Caenorhabditis elegans: one gene and its partner. The protein of the gene in region 1 purifies or fractionates together with the protein of each later gene. This does not show direct contact. Each region holds a gene or a part of one and is shown on either strand. Other genes may lie near its edges.

Region 1 (4,908 bases):
ACAACTTTTAAAATGACTCCACAAGCCATCAACAACAATCACACCAGCGAGGAGGCCGAGATGGCTCTCTTAAAACTTGCTCAATGTGCCAGCGCTCTTGTCCTCTCCGGATTCAAATTCCGTAACAGGAAAGTCACAGTTACCACAAAGAGGACCAACAAGCCAGGATTCGGAAAGACAACGGCTTCACGTTCACAATGTCATGCGAAGCCACGTCCGGGACAAAGAGTGACAATTGTCAAATATGTCAATGTTAATGCTACAGTAAATGTCTTTAAGTCAAAGCGTTCTGCTCCGTATTAAATTATTTCCGTTTTTATTGGAAGTGTGAAACTGAAGCAAATTTTCTCCTGTTTTATTTTTCTCCGAGTCAATTTTATCTGTTTTATCAAGTTTATAAACAACAAGCTATTTTTTTTGAAATTACTACCAATTGGTTTCCGATTGACGTACTTTCCAATTTTTCTCTCTCAATTAAAAAAAATTTTATTCAGTTCTCAGAAATATTCTATACAGTTTCTGAATCTCTTTTGATTGTCGACGAATCTTCTATTCGAGAAGGTGGAGAACATCGGAAGCAGTCGAATAGTTCTGAATTAATTCAGGTTATATTCTTTGTTTAAATCAATTTATTGAAACAGCAAAATTTAACTCACCAATAAACGCATTTCGATATTCTTGTACTATAAACATAATTGGAAGTGGATCGACTGCTGGATACAAAGCATACAGGTATGTAGTGAGATATGACCAACTTCCGATGTCAATATGAAAAAGTGGAGCACTGAACAATGCTCCCATTGGCATGAAGAACAAGAAGATTGGGAGAAATGTCTGAAACCTCGAATAAAAATTTATATAATTTCAACTGTTTTGATGATGTAGTAAATTTGAAACTTTATTTTTTCTTTCGTTGTTCACGTCGTTCGTCTTTCTTGTGTCTTTCAATTAACCAACCTGCACCAGTAATGCCTTGTACAGCTGCAACTGTAGTCGTTTTGTGTAGTCACATTCTCCTTGTTCAATCAATTTTTTGATTTGTGAATGGCTCTTCACCCCGGCAACAAGCATTACTGCGAATGGAATTACCTGAATTGACAATAATAATTATTTGGAAGTTACTGAAAATTCTTACCATACTGAAAGAGAGGATGACATAACTGATAAAAATCTTGATATCCAAATTAGGAACTCCATGTTCATCTGCCGGGTAAAATAATGCTGCAGAGTAGACGGTCTCATTCATGTGGAGACCAAAGTTTTCCAATACTGCTTCCCTGAAAAAAACTGAATATAATAGTCAAATGTTGTTGGAAGTTTTGTATATAAGTTTTATTCAGCTTTAGAAAAATTTCTATGAAGTTTAATTTTTAAAAAGAGGGCCAAACTGTGATGTGAATTGTGAACTTCTATTCAAAAAACGAAATACTATTCTGGCCATAATGAATTGCATGACAATTCAATAGAAAATGCCATAAACAGCTATATTTTTTACGAGAAAGAAATCGACAAAACTTTTTCAAAAGATTTCACAATCTTAAAAGCAATTATCATAGCAGTAAAATTCTAAATTTTGCATGAAACACAGGTTCAATTAGATTTAGTGATTTGTACAAGACCGTCTAACACCACCACCAATAATAATGTGTGGCGGAACCCGGGAAGTGTCGTGTACTATCCAAATAGCCCTTATATAAACGACCCGTTTTTCCATAAATCTCGTTCTTCCGAGAACATATACTAAAATTGGAACAATACAGAGAAGATTAGCATGGCCCCTGCGCAAGGATGACACGCAAATTCGTGAAGCGTTCCAAATTTTTTGTGAAATTTTGAATGAGGAAAATGCGGTACCAAATTTGAAAATTTCAAATTGTGTAGTTTGTATGATGACCCAGCATTGTTGGAAGATTTATCAACTCGCGGATTCAAATCGCGGATCAAATCCAATACTTTTTGATTTAATTGGGGATAATAAATGCAATCCGAAACAGTGTTTTTTTTAAATTTATAAATTAAAAATTGGGCGCTTAAAGTGTATTTGGATTTGTTTGAATGTAGTAGCAAAAATAAAAAGTCTAATATTTTGAAAAATTATTTTTCTAAAAAAATATCTTGATCTTCAACAACTTCTTACTTGATATATTCTGTTGTTTTATCATTTCTTCTATAGTAGAACCAAGAAAGATGAAACCAATTAATACCGCCAGCGATTGGAATCAAGAACCACATAAACAAGTAGGTTCCGGAGAAATATTTTAGGTTTCCTTTTCTGAAAAATATTATTTACTGAATTCGACTGAATGTTTGATTTTTTGAGATCTAACCAAAACAAAATGAGCTATAAAAAGTGAATCAAATCAACACAGTGAATTTTCAGAATTCCTAAAAAAACACCAACTGTAATATATTTTGTGAAACATGAAAACATTGTTACCTCTCCAAAGCAAAAAATCTATAAATGAAATGAATTGCAATCAGGAAAGGGGTCACACCCCCACAACCACATAGGATGCCTGAAATTAAAGTGAAATAAATTAAATTTATCAATTCAGATTTTCAAGTAGGCACGAAAAATGTCTACCTGCCTAGAGAACAGAATCAGCTTCAATCGGCTAAAAAAAATTTCAAGACCAAACTTGAATTATCATTTTTAAATGACTTTTTTTTTAATCTCAAAGTTATTTAAGTATGGTTTGTAGGCAGGCAGGCAGGTAGGCATTATAGTGCCTACAAGTGCAGACAACTTACTCAAAGCTATCTGAGCCATCTCCACTGTAAACGGCCAGTCTTTGATGCTCATTATCATGAAGAAACATGATCCGTAACTGTGGATGAACTGCAAACTTGAAAATTAAAACAAACTGAGTTTAATGAACTTACCGGTTGCACAATCATATCAATCACTGCAAAAACCATAGAGAACGTTGAGAAATATATCATGAGTGCCTTGTAATTTCCCATTTTCTTCGGAGATTTTGTGATTATCAAGTAGATCAGTAGTGAGTTGAAAACGATTGCACAAATGAGTGAAGAACATTGAAGGAGGAGGTTTAAATTGTTCGAAATTCGCATTTTGACTGATCACCTGATAATTAATAAATTGAACATATTATCAACGATTATTAGTAATATTTATGAAACCGTTTTTTATTGTTGAAATTTTTAATGTTTTTTAACGCAGATTTCTGGAAAATGTGGTTTTTCCAGAATGTGACGTCACAATTATTTTGCAGGGCGACTCTAGTGGAAAAACATCCGTGACGTCATTCTTAATTTTTAAGCAGAGAAAAAAAAGATATTGTAGGAGAAAAGTATTTGCAATTATGACGAGAACATGAAACTGTAGAATAAAAACATTATGTGTTAAATTAGCCAATTTAAGAGCATGATTTGTCACATTTTCTGGACAGCAAAGGGAAGATCAATTTTATTAATAAATTAATTTAATATTCTATTTCAGTAATTTTACTTCAAATTTCACGAAAAATATAAGCAAGAAACGGAGAAATAAATCACTATCTCGTAGATCAATCTACATTAAGCAAAATACAAAACCTTATTTTCCGCTCAAATTGCACAAAACCTAATTTTCTAGAAGCTGTTAAAATGTGAATACAAGGAACAATAACAAAAGATATTGTTTCGGTAGCTATACGAAAAAGGAAGGAAATTCATCAAATAGCTGTCTAGAGTGGGGATAAGAGACAGAAGAATGTGATTCAGAACTGCAAATACGTGGTATTCTGTGAGATACGTTGAGTGCGGAAGTGTGAATAATCAGAAAAAAAGGAAAAACACTGGAAATCTCTTAAAATTTAATGTTGATACTTTATTAGCGGATGTCAGTGCAGCTGGAATTTGTCAACATACTGAAACAATATAAAATTTTATTGGCGTTTTAGAAAATTCGCGGAAGGCACGTGAAAAGGCCTACGCGCCTGCCAGCCTACCCCCTATTCATGCATTTCTGTTTATGGCTCTACACAATTTACTTTGTTTAAAAAGTTCTTTAATTGAAAATTGTACTATTTCTTTTTAGGTCAATCAGAATATTCTTGTGTTCGAAGTAGAAAAAAATTTGTAAGTTTGAAAATGAACATTTATGAATTTTTGTGGTGAGTTTTTTGGAAACAAAATCTGAATTTATTGAGAAAACGAATGAAAAGTAAAAATGTATTTAAAAAAGTAGAAATTAGTTTTTTTTTCCAAGTTAGACTGAGCTATTCAAAACTTCGTTGCAAAAAAGTTTTTTAAAAAATTTAACTGTTTTACCTTCATGATTTAAATCAGACATCCCACTCTCATTAATAAGAATTAAAAATCCAAATGTTTTCAAAAAATTTCCGTTTCACCTTTTTAATTTCAGTATGTAACTGTATAAGTTTGTATATTCTTCTGGTCATTTCTTTAATTCGATTTATAAAAAATTCTAATTAAACATTTCTTCTGTATATTGATATGGAAATGTATTGAAAATCACATAAAATAAAAGAAAAATGTTTTTGCAAATGTGGGAGTAACACAAAATTACATACAAAATGAAAAATATATGATGACGTGGGTATTTTATATGAAAAACAACATCTAAAAATTGGGCAATCTATCCCATGCTCACATTTCCCATGCACACATTTCCCATGCTGACATTTTCTCCCGTGCATACAAAATATTCCCATGCTTACGCCCAGTAGTTCGAGTACTCCCATGCCTACAGCTCATTTTTTCCCTTTTTTCCGTTCCCATGCTGACATTCTCATACATACATTTTTTCCCGTGCATACAAAATTCCCATGCTTACATCCAGTAGTCGAACGTTCCTATGCCGACATTCCCACACATACATTTGTTCCCATACTTACAAAAATGTATTCCCATGCCGACATGGAACAGTTTTGTGCTCCAGAA
Region 2 (3,643 bases), on another chromosome or scaffold:
AGATATTCAAGCGCAGGGACCAGCCGTTGATGAATTCTTTAATGATGTGCGCATGGATGATGATGATGACAGACAACCAGCTCAGGAAATGGACTTTGGTGACAACTTCGATTTTCCACAAGAAGTAGAACATCAAGAGTGTGCTCCGATCCCTATCCAGAGTGGATTCGCTGGAGAGGTAATTTTTGGTGCGAATTTCAACTCTTAAAATATTATTTTACAGAACAAAGAGAACGAGGACGCAGAGGATTGGTCTGATCCGTTCGGTTCTTCAAATTCCAGCAGACGTGGCCAGCTTGAAGCCTATGGATTCGGAAATACTTCGACCTACAAGGAAGACGATGGCAAATGGGCGAAACGCGCCAAGCACATTCTAAAGAAAGTCTCCGCGGATATTGAGACTTCGGGACAAGCGGACTTCTCATCTGTCACAGCAACTGCCAAGAATCGCAAGCAAGCTGCAGAGCAATTTTATTCGTTGCTTACCCTGGCCAAGTCTCAAGCAATAAGTGTTGATCAATCAGAGCCATACGGAGAGATCGTAATTCGTCCAGGAGCCAATTTCAAAGAAGCATGTCCACTGAGCTCTCCGAAACCGATGGGACTTGGAAATACAATGGAAAATTCCACTATGAGAACCCCAATGAGACCAGTTTAATCGTTTTAGCTTATTATTATTACTCGCCATGCATAGTTTAACCTCTTCATTGTATATGGTATCTCGATTTTCTTAAAAGCAAGTATTATTTTTATTCCACGATTATTCATATACGGATATTATTTTTGCGGTATTATTTGTTCGAAAAGTACGAATGTACTATCTTTTTCTGTAAATAAAAAGCATCACGGTTTTAATGTTCTTGTTAATTGCTCAGGTTCCGATTAGTCGAGAGAAGAATAGCGAAAAAAAAAAGATTAACTCGGCTCTACTCAACTTCAACGTTTCCGTGTACAATTTCATTCATTCCATCTAGTTTCAAGTGATTTGAGATTCGCTTTCTTCGTATGAAAAAATGACTACATAATTATGAAACTTGGTGAATTTCATCTACAAACGCGTAAACGTTATTAAAAAAGCTGTTAAAATCTGGAAATTACATTTTTCCATAACTTTCAAGACAGGACACTCCGCTGCATTAGAAAATGTCTTCGAGACTAAATGTACGGATTTTACTAAATTTTGAGGCAATTCCGAATAATTTTTGCATTTCAGGCCCACCGTGAAACATTCACGAGGGTACGCGCAGAAAGAGAAACGCAGAGGGGGTACGTTTTCGTAAGGGGATTTTTTCGTAAGGAACGCTTTCAGTAGGGCAATGTGCGGCGCGCCTTTTCGCAAGCCCGCCGCACAGTCCTTCGCAATCGATTCGAAATCGATTGAAACCCGTTTTTGTCATCGAAAATTCTGAAAATATCCGTATTTAGCTCGAATAAAACTAATTAATTTCCATTAAAAATCCGTTTTTAATTGAATTCCGTTCGAAATTTCCTGTTGGAAAAATAAATAAATAAATACGAAGAAGCGTGCGGCGCATTGCAAAAAGCCGTGCGGCGCATTGCGAAGGACTGTGTGGCGGGCTTGCGAAAAGGCGCGCCGCACATTGCCCTACTGAAAGCGTTCCTTACGAAAAAATCCCCTTACGAAAACGTACCCCCTCGAAACGCAGAGAACAAAATGCAAGCGCGCTCCACCGGTACGCGCCAATCGCCACCATTTTAACTTACATAATTGCGGGAATTTTTGATTTCTCATTTTTTCTCATCATTTGCGGATTCATTTTTGCAATTTCATTTACCTAAAATTGATACACTTTTTGTTAAAAATGATTTTTTTTTCAGTTTTATTTTGTTTCATGCCAATACTGTTGTGAATTGTCTTTTATTTTGAAAAAGTGGGCTCCTAAATAATTAATTATATTTTTCTTTCAGATGGCTTCCCGTGTCAACATTGTTCAAGTACAAATTCTCGACAATCCTGCGATGTTTGTCGACAAATTCAAGTTGGAGATCACATTTGAAGTTTTTGAGCACTTGCCGCATGGTAAGAAAGAGGAAAATATAAACTCATCGATAATAATGATAATTTTCAGATCTCGAATGGGAATTGGTCTACGTCGGATCCGGAACATCCCGAGACTTTGACCAAGTTCTCGATTCAGCGCTCGTTGGTCCAATTCCAGAAGGACGCCACAAGTTTGTGTTCGACGCGGATCATCCGGATATCTCGAAGATCCCAGTCGATGATATCGTCGGTGTCAGCGTACTTCTCCTGCGCTGCAAGTACAACGATCAGGAGTTTATCAATATGGGATGGTTCGTGGCAAATGAGTACACCGAGGAAGAGCTCAAAGAGAATCCCCCATCGCAGCCACTCATCGAAAAGCTTTCCCGCAAAGTCGAAACTGAAGATCTTCGCATCACCACATTCCCGATTCGCTGGACTGATGAGGATCCGGTCGCAGAGCCTGTCGAGGATGAGGCTAACAGAGTATTCGCGGAAGATGACCTCATGCCTCTGAATGATGATGGCCAGGAAGATGACGATGAGGAGGAAGAGGTGAGAAAATGAATTTTACTTATTCAAAAATTAAATAATTTTATTCAGGATGATGACGAGATGGAGGCCAACGCTGAAGAAGTGGATTTGAACGAGAGCTTCAATGAACGATTGGCCAATGCACTTGACGGGGCCGAACAGAAAGGCGCAGATGAGAAAATGGAGGACGATGGAGCAAATGAGGATGTTGATATGGCTGGTAAGTGTTACTTGGTTTCTCTAACCCCTTCTTGTTTCGTGATGTGTGCTTCTCACCCTGTAATTATAGATGACGAGCCTGGCGTTCAGATCAACACTGACACGAAAGTTCCGGAATCGATGGCGGAGCCACTCTCAGACAAGACAAACAACGAAATGGTCCAGTGATTTCACTTCCAGTTAATTTATATATTTTGAACTTATTTTTATTCCCACCCGATTTTCAGTGACTGTCAAAAATTCACATAATTCGTTCTTTCATTTTTTTTCTTTTCAAGAATTTTCACTTTGAATGTTTTCCGAATAAAACTGTACAGTGTCATTCATTCAATGTTTTTCTTAAAACAAACAACTGAATTATATAAAACTGGTTTATTGTGATTGTACTATATATATAATACACCGGAGTAAAATAAACAGGCAAATTGATATGACAGTTTGAACGTCAGCTTGATTTGTAGAGATCACACCGTTTCAGTAAAGAAATTGATTTAAAAAGAAAATAACTGGAATTTTTAAAAATGTCTAGCGAGTTCTACTTTTGATTTTCCTCGATTTTTACTACATCCTATCCATTTTCTCGTCCGGTTCATCGCCGATTGGCGAAAAAAGCGAACAACTTGCTTTTGTATTCTGGTGTCTGACGAATGACCACATTGAAGAATTGATCCATTAGCTTTTCAAATTCTCGGAATTCCGGTAGAAAGTGCAATGTTTGTTTGACAGCCGGCTCTGAAACGGGCGAGGATTACGGTAGCTACGGGTGACCTGAAAAGTTAGATAATCCTCCAATGGGACGAGTGGGAATCAATGAAAGACACGGGGGGAAGTATAACAGAGAATAATCGGCGTGTAGAAGAACCTATGTCGGATTCGTTGTATTTAAAA

What was found. Proteins that work in one complex are often made in the same cells at the same time.
Region 2: the proteins of str-166 (region 1) and unc-85 fractionate together in Caenorhabditis elegans (co-fractionation; one large-scale study listed by BioGRID). This does not show direct contact.

What each region holds. Positions count from the first base shown.
Region 1 is NC_003282.8:4,882,463-4,887,370, reverse strand, and holds str-166 (Serpentine receptor class r-10), read right to left. Parts: upstream 3,088-4,908; 5' UTR 3,076-3,087; coding exon 2,884-3,075; intron 2,840-2,883; coding exon 2,752-2,839; intron 2,517-2,751; coding exon 2,438-2,516; intron 2,273-2,437; coding exon 2,138-2,272; intron 1,950-2,137; exon of another isoform or gene 1,929-1,949; intron 1,836-1,928; exon of another isoform or gene 1,722-1,835; intron 1,278-1,721; coding exon 1,136-1,277; intron 1,104-1,135; exon of another isoform or gene 1,090-1,103; coding exon 958-1,089; intron 936-957; exon of another isoform or gene 915-935; intron 854-914; exon of another isoform or gene 835-853; coding exon 657-834; intron 597-656; exon of another isoform or gene 592-596; coding exon 509-591; downstream 1-508. Other genes in the region: T08B6.1 (60S ribosomal protein L35a), read left to right, coding at 13-303.
Region 2 is NC_003280.10:4,700,140-4,703,782, forward strand, and holds unc-85 (putative histone chaperone asf-1), read left to right. Parts: upstream 1-1,929; coding exon 1,930-2,041; intron 2,042-2,090; coding exon 2,091-2,557; intron 2,558-2,605; coding exon 2,606-2,756; intron 2,757-2,825; coding exon 2,826-2,923; 3' UTR 2,924-3,080; downstream 3,081-3,643. Other genes in the region: scc-1 (Sister chromatid cohesion protein 1), read left to right, coding at 1-178, 224-658; F10G7.9 (C3H1-type domain-containing protein), read right to left, coding at 3,345-3,487, 3,618-3,643. UniProt on the Caenorhabditis elegans protein: Histone chaperone that facilitates histone deposition and histone exchange and removal during nucleosome assembly and disassembly.